3 linked regions of the Callithrix jacchus genome follow. The protein of the gene in region 1 interacts with the protein of each later gene in a pairwise test. Links are inferred from orthologs where the notes say so. Each region holds a gene or a part of one and is shown in the gene's direction. Other genes may lie near its edges.

The links.
Region 2: the proteins of TEX11 (region 1) and PPP1R18 interact in binary tests that used the Homo sapiens proteins (3 or more experiments, as listed by UniProt). The two-hybrid records come from large-scale screens. The link is inferred for Callithrix jacchus from reciprocal best matches to the Homo sapiens genes TEX11 and PPP1R18.
Region 3: the proteins of TEX11 (region 1) and HYI interact in binary tests that used the Homo sapiens proteins (3 or more experiments, as listed by UniProt). The two-hybrid records come from large-scale screens. The link is inferred for Callithrix jacchus from reciprocal best matches to the Homo sapiens genes TEX11 and HYI.

Annotation. Positions count from the first base shown.
Region 1 is NC_133524.1:67,855,618-67,859,117, reverse strand, and holds part of TEX11 (testis-expressed protein 11), read left to right. Parts: intron 1-779; coding exon 780-888; intron 889-1,941; coding exon 1,942-2,062; intron 2,063-3,500. UniProt on the Homo sapiens protein: Regulator of crossing-over during meiosis. Involved in initiation and/or maintenance of chromosome synapsis and formation of crossovers.
Region 2 is NC_133505.1:35,482,941-35,487,225, reverse strand, and holds the start of PPP1R18 (phostensin), read left to right. Parts: upstream 1-1,485; 5' UTR 1,486-1,777; coding exon 1,778-1,836; intron 1,837-2,622; coding exon 2,623-4,255; intron 4,256-4,285.
Region 3 is NC_133508.1:80,108,700-80,112,730, reverse strand, and holds HYI (putative hydroxypyruvate isomerase), read left to right. Parts: upstream 1-1,231; 5' UTR 1,232-1,269; coding exon 1,270-1,468; intron 1,469-1,547; coding exon 1,548-1,659; exon of another isoform or gene 1,660-1,809; coding exon of another isoform or gene 1,810-2,121; intron 2,122-2,682; coding exon 2,683-2,797; intron 2,798-2,967; coding exon 2,968-3,046; intron 3,047-3,135; coding exon 3,136-3,185; intron 3,186-3,274; coding exon 3,275-3,359; intron 3,360-3,462; coding exon 3,463-3,597; intron 3,598-3,691; coding exon 3,692-3,765; 3' UTR 3,766-3,845; downstream 3,846-4,031. Other genes in the region: KICSTOR complex protein SZT2, read right to left, coding at 1,810-2,121. UniProt on the Homo sapiens protein: Catalyzes the reversible isomerization between hydroxypyruvate and 2-hydroxy-3-oxopropanoate (also termed tartronate semialdehyde).

The DNA of each region.
Region 1 (3,500 bases):
TTTTTAACACAACTGCCACTCTCAAATTTCAGGATGAACTTTAAGTGAGTTTGGGAACTTAGAGCCTTTTTGGGCATACACTGCAGGAAACAGCCTCATTATCTTCCCTTTTTATCTCACACCTTCAGGAGTGTCAGTGTGGTTAATAAAAATATTAGGTAGCTCCAAGGGCACAAGAATCACATTTGCCTTTCCTTGGTCTTGCCAAGACAGAATTCCTAGAGCCATGGAGCAGATGATATATACTTTATGGGAATGTGACAATTACCAGTGCTCCTTGTATAATGGAACTCCAATTCTAAAAATCTGTTAAATGCATCTGAAAGTCTTAGGGTTAGTTACCTCTGATACTCCCTTGTCAAGTGTTTCCTATTTTTAGTATCAGATAAAAATAGGACATTTTAGTACAAACCTGTTTTGATTAGTGCCCTTTTACTGATCTGCTTTCTATTTCCTTCTTAGTGTGTCCTTCCTTGACTCTCATTCATATTGCTTCACCTGTATGACTGTGTGCAAGGTCATAGAAACAGTAGGTTTTCTGTTGATGTTTGCTGAAGAAAGGATGTTACCTGGTAATCCCACCATGCTACTCTGCCCAGAAAGTAGAAGCTATTTACAAAACTGGCTGTAGATTCATCATTTATAAAATTCATTGTTGTTTGTTTTTTGTTCATCTATTTCAGCCCAGTTTTATTAGAGAAAGCAAGTGGTAGCCTGGGATGAAAACTGTGATGGATGACATTATGATGTTCATAACCTTTTTCCTTTTCTTCATCTAGTAATAGCAATGGAAACACCTGCACACTACCCTTCCATTGCTATCAAAGCCTTGAAAAAGGCTTTATTGCTCTACAAAAAGGAAGAATCAGTTGATATTTCACAATACAGGTTAGTAAATATAATTCAAAACTTAATCCAGTTTTTTGATAGCCAAAAGAACTATAGTCAATGTCTCATAAGTAACCAGTCATTCTTAACTGACCCAATTTAAAAGATGACATGGGATGATCTGAGGGCACTCCTGTGACCAGCTCCATACTGAGAGTTGTATTATAGACCAATAATTATTCAGCAAAGTCAAGGAGCTTGGGTTTCCCAAATGAGAATAAAAGGGGAAAAGTTGCTTCTTTGTGCGAATCTGTATATATAATAAAACTGCTAAGTATCTTTCTTTCTTTGTTTCATTACTAAATAATATTCCAAATGTACAGAGGTTAATATAGCAAACACCAATGTCTCCACCACCCAGATTTATTTGTTTTATTTTTAGAGATGGAGTCTCATGATTTTGCCCAGGCTGGATTTGAACTCCTGGGCTCAAATGATCCTCAATCTCAGTTTCACAAGTAGCTGGAATTACAGGCACATAGCACCCAAATTTAACAAATGTTAACATTTTTCTATGTTTGCCTCATTTTTTAAGCACTTTGAGCACCAATAAGTGCTGTATAAAATATTATCTACTGGGGACTTTTTTGTTTTCTACGTCCAGACATAGGGAAAAATAGATGTTGTGTGACTTTTTTGTCTGGAAAACATCATTACAGTCTTCCTGTTTTAAGACATGAAAGACAGTTCTTGTGGAATCATTCCACTTTAAACACCAGTTCCCTTCCCCATTTGAGGAAGTACTGAGATGCTTTAAATGCCTGTAAATTGAACCAGCTCATAAAATATAATAGACAGCCACAACTTTTTCGTTCAGGAAGCTAAAAAAAAGAATGAAAGACAACCATAGGCATGAAAAAAGAAAGGATTGGTCAACCTGTTTTACAGCTTCAAAAATCTGTCTTCTGAGGTTGGAAGCCAGATAAAATCAAGGGAAGAACAGAAGTGTTTTGAAACTGTTAGTCTGGGATGAGATCCAGATTTTACTTATCTTAGCCATGAAGCCAATGATTTCTTTCCTTATGGGATGAGTTTTCTCTTTTTGATTTTTAGCAAATGTATGCACAACTTGATTAACCTCTCAGTGCCAGATGGGGCATCAAGTGTAGAGCTCTGTCCCCTGGAAGAAGTTTGGGGCTTTTTTGAAGATGCTCTGAGCCACATTAGCCGCACCGTAAGTCAAATAGTAATATTGAACTTTTGGTTAATTTTAAAGAACTGAACTGTCTTGTGTACTACAAATTATATACAATAGTGCTTTCTTATATGAGTTTTAGGAAAATTCGTATTACAATTTTGTAGTTACACACTACAGAATTTTCCTGGGTTTCTGAAATATTAATAGTTGAAAGTAGGTATTTTCTAACACAAGTGTGTTATGGATTAGGTCAAAATAGCAGTACTACCAGGCATTTTGAATTATTTTGTATTTTCAAATCATGGTGGGATGATTATTTTCTCTGTGATTCTATGAACCTTTTGAAAAGGTTATTGCTATTCTCGTCCTTTCTCAGAGGCAGGTGATAGAGTAGAAGGAACATTGAAAACCTGTATTCTAGTTCCTCCTCTGCTGATTTCTTTTTCTTTTTCATGAAGGTTTATTCAGTGGTTTTAAAGTTAGCTTTCCTGAGGTATAATTTACATATCATAAAATTCACCCCTGGCTTGTGCACAATTCAGTGAATTTATAGAGTTGTGCAATTAACACTACAATTCAGTTTTTTTTAATTTAAAAAATGTTTTCAATTTTTGTGGGTACATAGCAGTATATATATTTATGGGGTACATGAAATATTTTGATACAGGCATATAATGCATAATAATCACATCAGGTTAAATGGGGTATCCATCACCTCAGGCATTTATCCTTTGTGTTACAAGCAATTCAATTATACTTTTAGTTTTTAAAAATGTACAATTAAATTATTGTTGATTATAATCACCCTGTTGTGCTGCTAAGTACAGATCTTATTCATTCTAATTTTTGTACCCATTAACCATTCCCACATCTCCCCCCCACCCCTCCTCTGGTAAACATCATTATACTCTTTCTCTCCCCAACAGTTCAATTATTTTAATTTTTAGCTTTCACAAATAAGTGAGAACATGTGAAGTTTGGGGTGTGTGCGTGTGTGTGTGTGTGTGTGTGTGTGTGTGTGTGTGTTGGGCTTATTTCATTCAACATACTGACCTTCAGTTCCATCCATGTTGTTGCAAGTGACTGGATCTCATTCTTTTTTATGGTTGAATAGTACTCCGTTGTGTATAGGTACCACATTTTCTTTATCCATTCATCTGTTGATGGACACTTAGGTTGCTTCCAAATCTTAACTATTGTAAACAGTGCTACAACAAACATAGGAGTACAGATACCTCTTTGATATACTGATTTCCTTTCTTTTGGGTATATACCCAGCAGTGAGATTGTTGGATCATATGGTAACTCAATTTTTAGTTTTTTAGGAACCTTCAAACTGTTCTCCATAGTGGTTGTACTAATTTATGTTCCAACAGTGTATGAGGGTTCCCTTTTCACCACATCCTTACCAGCATTTGCTATTGCCTGTCTTTTGGATATAAGACATTTTAACTGGGGTAAGATGCTGTCTCAT
Region 2 (4,285 bases), on another chromosome or scaffold:
GCTGGTCTTGAACTGCTGACCTTGTGATCCGCCTGCCTTAGTCTCCCAAAGTGCTGGAATTACAGGCATGAGCCACCACGCCCAGTCTCTCTCCCCCTGAATTCTAAATCTTTAACATCCAGGCCCTGGCTGCTTCAGGCCAGAGGCTCAAATCCATGGACTAAAGGAGTTGCCCCTTCCACTACTTGCTACTTTATTCTCTGGGTCCAGCTCCATACTCTAAATTCTGAGTTTCAGCCACTGAACTCCAAGAGTCCACATCTCACCAGCAAGGAAGAGCAGGGTATGGAATTCATCTGTCTCCTCACTGTTTAGGGCATGGCATGCTCCCCTTCAACAGTCTCCTAGAAGGAAAGGATCTGCCCTGACCATTCCGCTGGCGGGCACCATTGCTTCTCTCTGTGCCTCTGGGATCCCCCTCCCACTTCGCCACCTCTGGCTTCCACTCCGAGAAGCTGGACCAGGGTCTGCAAGTTCAAAGGCAGTGGCTGTCCCTCCAGGCCCCACACCTTGCCTCAGCACTCCCGGCCCTAGTGTCTGCACCTCCTTAGGCCCTGCCTCTGAACCTAGTCAAGAGGATTCTCCCGTTCTTAACTTGGGGCTTCCTGTTCTGGATGCTCTGCAGGAAAATAAAAGCCTGATTTTTCTACGTACTGCATGTAGTCTGTCAGTGTCTCCCAAGCTGCAGGGCTGAGTTTGGGAAGGAAAGCCAGAGGGAGCCTGCGAGCCCGCGAAGTGGAGTCTGGGCAGCCACCACGCCCTCTGGCAACCGCTGGCCTTCGACCACCGCGCCCCCGCTGACCCGCCCCCACTTTGCCAGAGAGGCCGGGTCCCCATTCCTTCAAATCCCCTTCCCCCACTCCCCAACCCCGCAGCTGACCAAGAGACTCATGGGAGGCAGGTTGAAGCTAGAAAGAGTGGGGACAGCAGCTCTGGTAGGAGAACGAGCTTCCAAAACTGCTGGCTTCTGAGCGCCTCTCCTGCCGCCCCCTCCTCAAGGCCTCCTGGTGGCTGCCCTCGACCCGGCAAAAACAAAGACTGGCCGGAGAAGGCAAAATCGCGGGGAGGGCTGAGAGGCAGGAGATGGGAAGGGCGGGCCCGGCTCCTAGCAGCTGCCGCTTCCTCCCAAAGTCCCACGAGGGGCCTGAGTCACGGGCCACCGCCCTGGGTCGGCGAGCTGGGGGAAGGGATCTGGACACCTGGGTTCTTCAGGGCTACCGGGAGGGAAGCGGTTGAGGGCCCCTGGGGACACAGAGCAGAGGACCAGGGGTTGGGGCGAGTAGGGGGCAGTCCCAGAGCCAGTCCCACGCGCGGTGGGAGGGAGCCCCGCCCTCCCCTCGGGCTCCGCCCTGCGCCCCCTTCCCTCTCCTCATTGTCCTTAGACAAAGCGGTCGCCGCCCCCGCCCGGCCCCCTGATCTCTGTCTCCGTCCCTCCTCCTTTGCTGCCTCTTTCCCTCCTCCTCTCCCTCCTCCTCCCCTCCCTCCAGTCTCCGGATCTCCCTCGGTCCCTCTCTCCTCCTCTTCCTCTCTCTGGACGCCCGGCTCCTCCGCACCCCCTCCCAGGGGGGCCCCACGGCGTGTGAGTTGACTGAGGGGCTTAGACTTGGGGAGGGGGTGTCTCCTCGCTCCCGTCCCTGGCCCGGACCTTGGCTGTCTCCTCTTTGTGCCGAGATTGTCAGTCTGTGCAGCCAGAGCGGGGTGGAGACAGCTGGCTCTGTCACGGCTCCATGAGAGCGGGGACCGGGCATGGGACTCGCAGGCGCTGGAGAGAAGAGGCATGGAGCCGGCCCTCGGCACTCCGGGGTCGCCGGGCGCAGACGGCGGGGGAGGCAGGCGGTATTGACGGGACTGGGTGGGGGTGGATACCAGGGTTCTGGGAACGCGCTGGCAGCCCCGACGCCCGGGTTCCGAAAGTCCCGGGGTGGGTATTTCCCCCGACCCGCCTCGGGGGCGGAGTGCGGGGCAGAGGGGTGGGGGCTGGGGAGAGGCGTGGCCCCAGCGGCACTGGAAGCGGAGCAGGGACCTTTGGGGCCCGCGCTGAGACGCTCCCGGCCGCTACCGCCGCGCTCCCTTCCCCTCTTCCCTGGTTTCCCTTCTCCCCTAGACCTGCTCGCTCTCCGCTCCTCCCTGCCTCCTCGACACCCCCTCAGGTCCCGTTGCCCTCCTCGGGAGGGATTCCCGGTCCTTCCTTCCCACACTCACCTCCCTGGGGTATCGCTGAGGCAGCCAGGCCTGCACCCGGGTTCCCCTCATCCCTGCCCCTTTTCTCTTTTCACCCTCATAGCAACTTTTCTTTTCTCCCATTCTCTGTTTCCCACATCCTAGAGACTGTCTTTAATACGCATTAACCCTGTACTGCCACATCTGGCTCCTGTCCTCATTGCCTCCAATCTGGACTCTTCCTCTCACATCGCCCCCACCACCCCCAACTTGGGCTCATAACTTCTCTTCACTTTTTCCATTTCCCCTGTTCTCTGCCGTCCCTCTTTCCCTTGGTCCTCATCCTCAGCTCCTCTGCCCTGCTCGTGGTCCCACCTCTCCCCCTCCACTTCCTCCCCTCCCACCCTCAGTCTCACTCCCTGGGCCTCTCTGGAGCCTCTTCTTCCTGTTCTCTGCCCCCAGTGCTCCCTACCCTCACCTCAAGGCGACCATGACCACCATCCCAGACTGGAAGCTACAGCTGTTAGCCCGGCGCCGGCAGGAGGAGGCGTCCGTTAGAGGCCGGGAGAAGGCAGAACGGGAGCGCCTATCCCAGATGCCAGCCTGGAAGCGAGGGCTTCTGGAGCGCCGCCGGGCCAAGCTTGGGCTGTCCCCTGGGGAGCCTAGCCCTGTGCCAGGGACTGCAGAAGCCGGACCTGCAGACACAGATGAATCTGCGGTCCTTCAGGAGGCCATCGGGCCAGTGCACCAGAACCGATTCATCCGGCAGGAGCGGCAGCAGCAGCAGCAACGGAGTGAAGAGCTGCTAGCTGAGAGAAAGCCTGGATCTCTGGAGGCCCGGGAGCGGAGACCCAGCCCTGGGGAGATGCGGGATCAGAGCCCCAAGAGAAGAGAGTCAAGAGAAGAGAGACTAAGTCCCAGGGAGACCAGAGAGAGGAGGCTGGGGATAGGGGGAGCCCAAGAGTCGAGCCTGAGGCCTCTGGAGGCTCGGGACTGGAGGCAAAGCCCAGGAGAGGCGGGAGACAAGAGCTCCCGACTGTCAGAGGCACGGAAATGGAGGCTGAGTCCTGTAGAAACTCCAGAGCGGAGTCTGAGACTAGCAGAGTCTCGAGAGCAAAGCCCCAGAAGAAAAGAGGTGGAAAGTAGACTGAGCCCAGGGGAATCTGCCTACCCGAAGTTGGGCCTGACAGAGGCCCATAAATGGAGACCTGACTCCAGAGAGTCTCAGGAACAGAGTTTGGTACAACCAGAGGCAACAGAGTGGAGGCTGAGGTCAGGAGAAGAAAGAAAAGGCTACTCAGAAGAATGTAGGAGAAAAGAAGGGAGGCCAGTTCCAGGGGTGGCCCCAGAAGAGACTACAGAGCTGTCAGAGACCCTGACAAAGGAGGCCCAAGGCAGCAGTTCTGCAGGAGTGGAGGCTGCAGAACAGAGGCCTATGGGAGACAGTGAGAGGGGCATGAAGCCAACAGAAGGGTGGAAATGGACCCTGAACTCTGGGAACGCTCGAGAATGGACACCCAACGACAACGAGGCTCAAACTCAGAAACCAGAACCTCCAGAGTCAGTGGAAAAGCGTCTGGAGCCTCCCGGTGTGGAAGCTGGAGAAGGGGAGGCTGAGAAGGAGGAGGCGGGAGCTCAGGGCAGGCCTCTGAGAGCCCTGCAGAACTGCTGCTCTGTGCCCTCCCCCCTCCCACCAGAGGACGCTGGGACTGGAGGCCTGAGACAGCAGGAAGAAGAAGCAGTGGAACTCCAGCCCCCACCACCAGCCCCTCTATCTCCCCCACCCCCAGCCCCAGCTGCCCCCCAACCTCCTGGGGATCCCCTCATGAGCCGCCTGTTCTATGGGGTGAAAGCAGGGCCAGGGGTGGGGGCCCCCCGCCGCAGTGGACACACCTTCACCGTCAACCCCCGGCGGTCTGTGCTCCCTACGACTCCCCCAGCCACCCCAGCCTCTCCAGCCACAGCTGATGCTGCAGCCCTGGGGGCTGGGAAGAAGCGGTACCCAACTGCCGAGGAGATCTTGGTTCTGGGGGGCTACCTCCGTCTCAGCCGCAGCTGCCTTGCCAAGGGGTCCCCCGAAAGACACCACAAACAGGTAGGGGAACAGCCGAGCCAGACTTCTTAG
Region 3 (4,031 bases), on another chromosome or scaffold:
ACTTAAATATGTTCCTATTTTTGACCATGTAATTCTACCTATAAGTACCTACCCCATCAGTTGAGTTACTGAAGATGAAAGTAAATCATTCATATCATCTCAGGAAACATTAAAAGGGTATACAGACACCAAAACCCAGGAAAGTCTAAGGATTCCAGCCTTAAGTGCACACACCTGGGAGCAGCAATGGGTTTGGGCACCCCTGGGACGACAGGAGTTTCTCAGTGTGCTACCTCTATTCACAGGGCTTTTTCCCCCTCCTTTCCGCTCTAGTTTTTTTGTACCATAGGACTCTGCCTTATTTCTTTTCTACAGCCCAGTCATCTTCCGGCACCACCACCTGTTGACTCTCAGCATTTCCTTGTTTGTACTCTTGATTGGTTAGATTATCTCGCCAAACGGTGCAAGTAAGAGGTCTTTGGCCAGTCTATGGATTGGCTGCCCTGAGATCAGATGACCTCCCTGGTTCAATCAGCTGAGGCTAAGGCTAAGGGGACAGTTCACCCATAGCTGCTTAATGGGGCGGCTTCCCTTGCAAAAGACGAACGGTGTGAACGGACAAACACTGTGATGGACATCTCTAGAAAAGGACTCGAAAAAGAGTCCGAGATAGGTACTAAGACGTGCATGAAAGTGCGCTTGCAGTGCGCGCGTGTTATCCATCCACGGATACAATAATGACTCGGTGCTTACGTGTGCGACAATGAGCAGCGAAGGCGCTGACTTTGAAGGCTATTGGAAAACACGAGGAAATGTTCACAAAATAATATTCCATGAAAAATGGCCTATAAAACCGCATACACCGAATGGTCAGAATTTTCAAAGAAAAAATGGCATATTTTAAAACTTGGACGGGCAAGCTAACAGGCTAGTGTCGTGAAAACTGGTGGTATAAAAGTGCTTGTTTGGTCATACAGCTTTCAAATGCTGCTTCATGAACAGATAGCATTTTTATAATCAGAGGAGAGACTCAGTATTAAAGTGCCCGTCCCATCGTCGTAACCGTGCCCTTGGGCAGCCGGTTCTCAGGCTCACGGCCCGGCCTCCCCACCTCCTCCTGGTGCCACCCTCGCCCCGCCCCTCCGCCTCTCCCCGCGCTTCCTCTCTAGCTAACTAAAGGCGCTTTCCACGAAGACCCGGGTTTTTACAGCACCTCGCTTCTTCTAACCCGGAACAGTGCGCTTTTGTTCGCCGGGTCAGCAAGGAGAGCCCCGCCCCGCCCGCCGCCTCCGGGGCCTGCGGACTCTGCCCGGTCCGGCCTCCCCCATCATGGCGCCGCTGCGCTTCTCTGCCAATCTGTCCTGGCTATTCCCGGAGCTCCCCGGCCTCCTCCCGCGACTGCGGGCCGCGGGCAGCTCGGGCTTCGAGGCCGCCGAGGTGGCCTGGCCTTACGCGGAGCCGCCCGAGGCGCTGGCGCGGGCGGCGCGGGAAGCGGGGCTGCGGCTGGTGCTGATAAACACGCCTCCGGGTGCGTGGCAGGCCGGGAGGGCTGGAGGGACCCGGGTGTGGGTGCCGGACCTGGGGGCTGAGGCCAGTTCTCTCTGCAGGAGATCATGAGAAGGGGGAAATGGGGCTGGGGGCCGTCCCCGGGAGACAGGAGGCCTTCCGAGAAGGTCTGGAGCAGGCTGTGCGGTACGCCAAGGCCCTGGGCTGTCCCAGGTACCCCCATCCCCCACCCCTCTGTGACCCATGACCCTGCCGCAGGTTAAGGGCGTCGAGGACGCCAGGTATGAGACGTTCAGAAGTCTGAGCCCACTGGCCTATCTCCGCCCCTGCGGTCCTGGTCCTTTGTAAACTGTCTTTTATATTTTATCTGTCCTGTGCCAGTCTGTTTGCCACTCTTTCATGCTCACCCCATGCCGGGATCCCATGCTGGGAGCTCAGTCTGCCTAGGGAGATAGAAATATATGCAGTGATCCATTTGAGGACGGGCCTATTCAAGTAAGCTGTGGGAGCAGGGTAGGCACCTAACCCTGTCTGGATCAGAGAAAGCTGCTTACAGGTAGTGATGCTTGGACTGTCTTGAAGGAGTGGGCATTGCTTGATGAGCAGGAGGTAGAGTATTCCTGGCAAGAGGAGGCCTGGTGTGTTGAGCAGCGTTCCTGAGGCTGGATGGGTAGCCTGTTGGGGTGGGGAGACCTGGAATGTTGGCTTGAAGCTGAATGTGGCTAAGATCCGAGTGATGGCAGGAGGTGGACGGCTCAAAGTGGAGCTGGTCAAATGCCAAATCCTGCAGAGGCCAAACAGGCTCAGAAGGAACTGGCAATGGGATCACTACTGGTGAATGGTAGGGGAGAAAACAGATGGGAAGAGGCTAAGAAGTAGATGTGAGGAGAGGAAGTAGAAACAGCAGCATGGCATACTTGAGAAGGGCAAGGGTCAGGATAATTTTTAAAGGTGAGACTTTAGCAGGTTGTATGTTGAGAATGACTGAGGGAAGGAGAGGTGGAAATTACTGGAGGTGGGGGGTAGGGGGGAGTGGACACTGAGGTGTTTGGGAGAGGGCTTGCCCCTCAACTGTCACTGAAGTGTCTGAAAGTGCCCGGATGCCTGGGCGTCGTGACGCAGGTGTCATGGACTGGAGACCTGGGGAGACAGGTGAGGCCAGCATAGTCAGGGAATCCTGCGAGAGGTGTAGAGAGAGCCAAGGGAGGCAAGGCCTCCAGTATATCTTCTCCACAGGATCCACCTGATGGCTGGCCGAGTACCCCAGGGGGCTGACCCAGCAGCAGTCAAGGCTGAGATGGAGACCGTTTTTCTAGAGAATCTGAGGCATGCAGCTGGGGTTTTGGCTCAGGTGAGAAAGGTGGAAACACAGAGCGGAGCGGTTGCACAGTGGGGACAGCATGTGAGGCACAAGGCTGGCTGCCGGCCTAGGTCAGAAGGACAGGTGAGGGCCTTGACCAGTGACTGATGGGGGACAAACTTGGGAAGGAGCTCTATTCACAGCACCCGACATGCTGCTAGGAGGACCTTGTGGGACTGCTGGAGCCCATCAACACCCGCATCACTGACCCCCAGTACTTCCTGGACACGCCTCAGCAGGGTAGGACCCCAGGCCTGTGGATCCTTCTGTCCCTTGGATACCTGTGCTTTCCTTGAGGCTCATGGCCCACTCCCTGGCTTCTCTTCCAGCGGCAGCCATCTTACAGAAGGTGGGAAGACCCAACCTCCAATTACAAATGGTAAGTGGAAGAAAGGGGGTACTTTGCAGAGAGCCCATGTTCTCTCAATCTTGGAAGCAAGGCAGAGCCTATAGGGTCTTGGACTGTAGAATCCTCTTCCCCAGGACATATTCCACTGGCAGATCATGGATGGGAACCTGACAGGAAACATCCGGGAGTTCCTGCCCATTGTCGGTGAGAGGAGCTTTCTTTGCTCTTTCACCCTTTCAATCCCCACGTCTGTCCTTCAGGCCCCGGCAGGAGCCCGGACCCTACATCTGTCCTCATCTGTCCCCAGGGCACGTGCAGGTGGCACAGGTCCCAGGCCGAGGGGAGCCCAGCAGCCCCGGAGAGCTGAACTTCCCCTATCTGTTTCAACTGCTGGAAGATGAAGGCTACAAAGGTTTTGTGGGCTGCGAGTATCGGCCTCAAGGTGAGGCATGGCCCTGGGGAAGGGAGTTCTGGAGGAACTTGGACAGGGGCCGTTTTCTCCATGTGGGCTGAGACGCCAAGGTCTCTCCTTGCAGGAGATACAGTAGAGGGCCTGAGCTGGCTACGGTCATACTGGGACAGGCGGGGCCACCCAGGGGCTGGCCAGTGAGGGCCTGCACACCACCCACATGCCTCCAGACAGCGAGTGAGATCCTGTCTCCTTCTCTGCATTAAAGATGACCTGCTGAACACTGTCATATATCTTTGTTATGGGGTGGGGGGACACACAGTGTCTAATACTTCAGTTTCTCTGTTGCTTCCCTCCCACTGAGAAGCCAATGCCAGGGTTGCTGTGGAGATGGGAGAGCTTCTGAGCCCACCTCCTCATTAAAGGATGAGAAACCCAGGGTCCAAGAGCAGAGACTTGACAGTGGT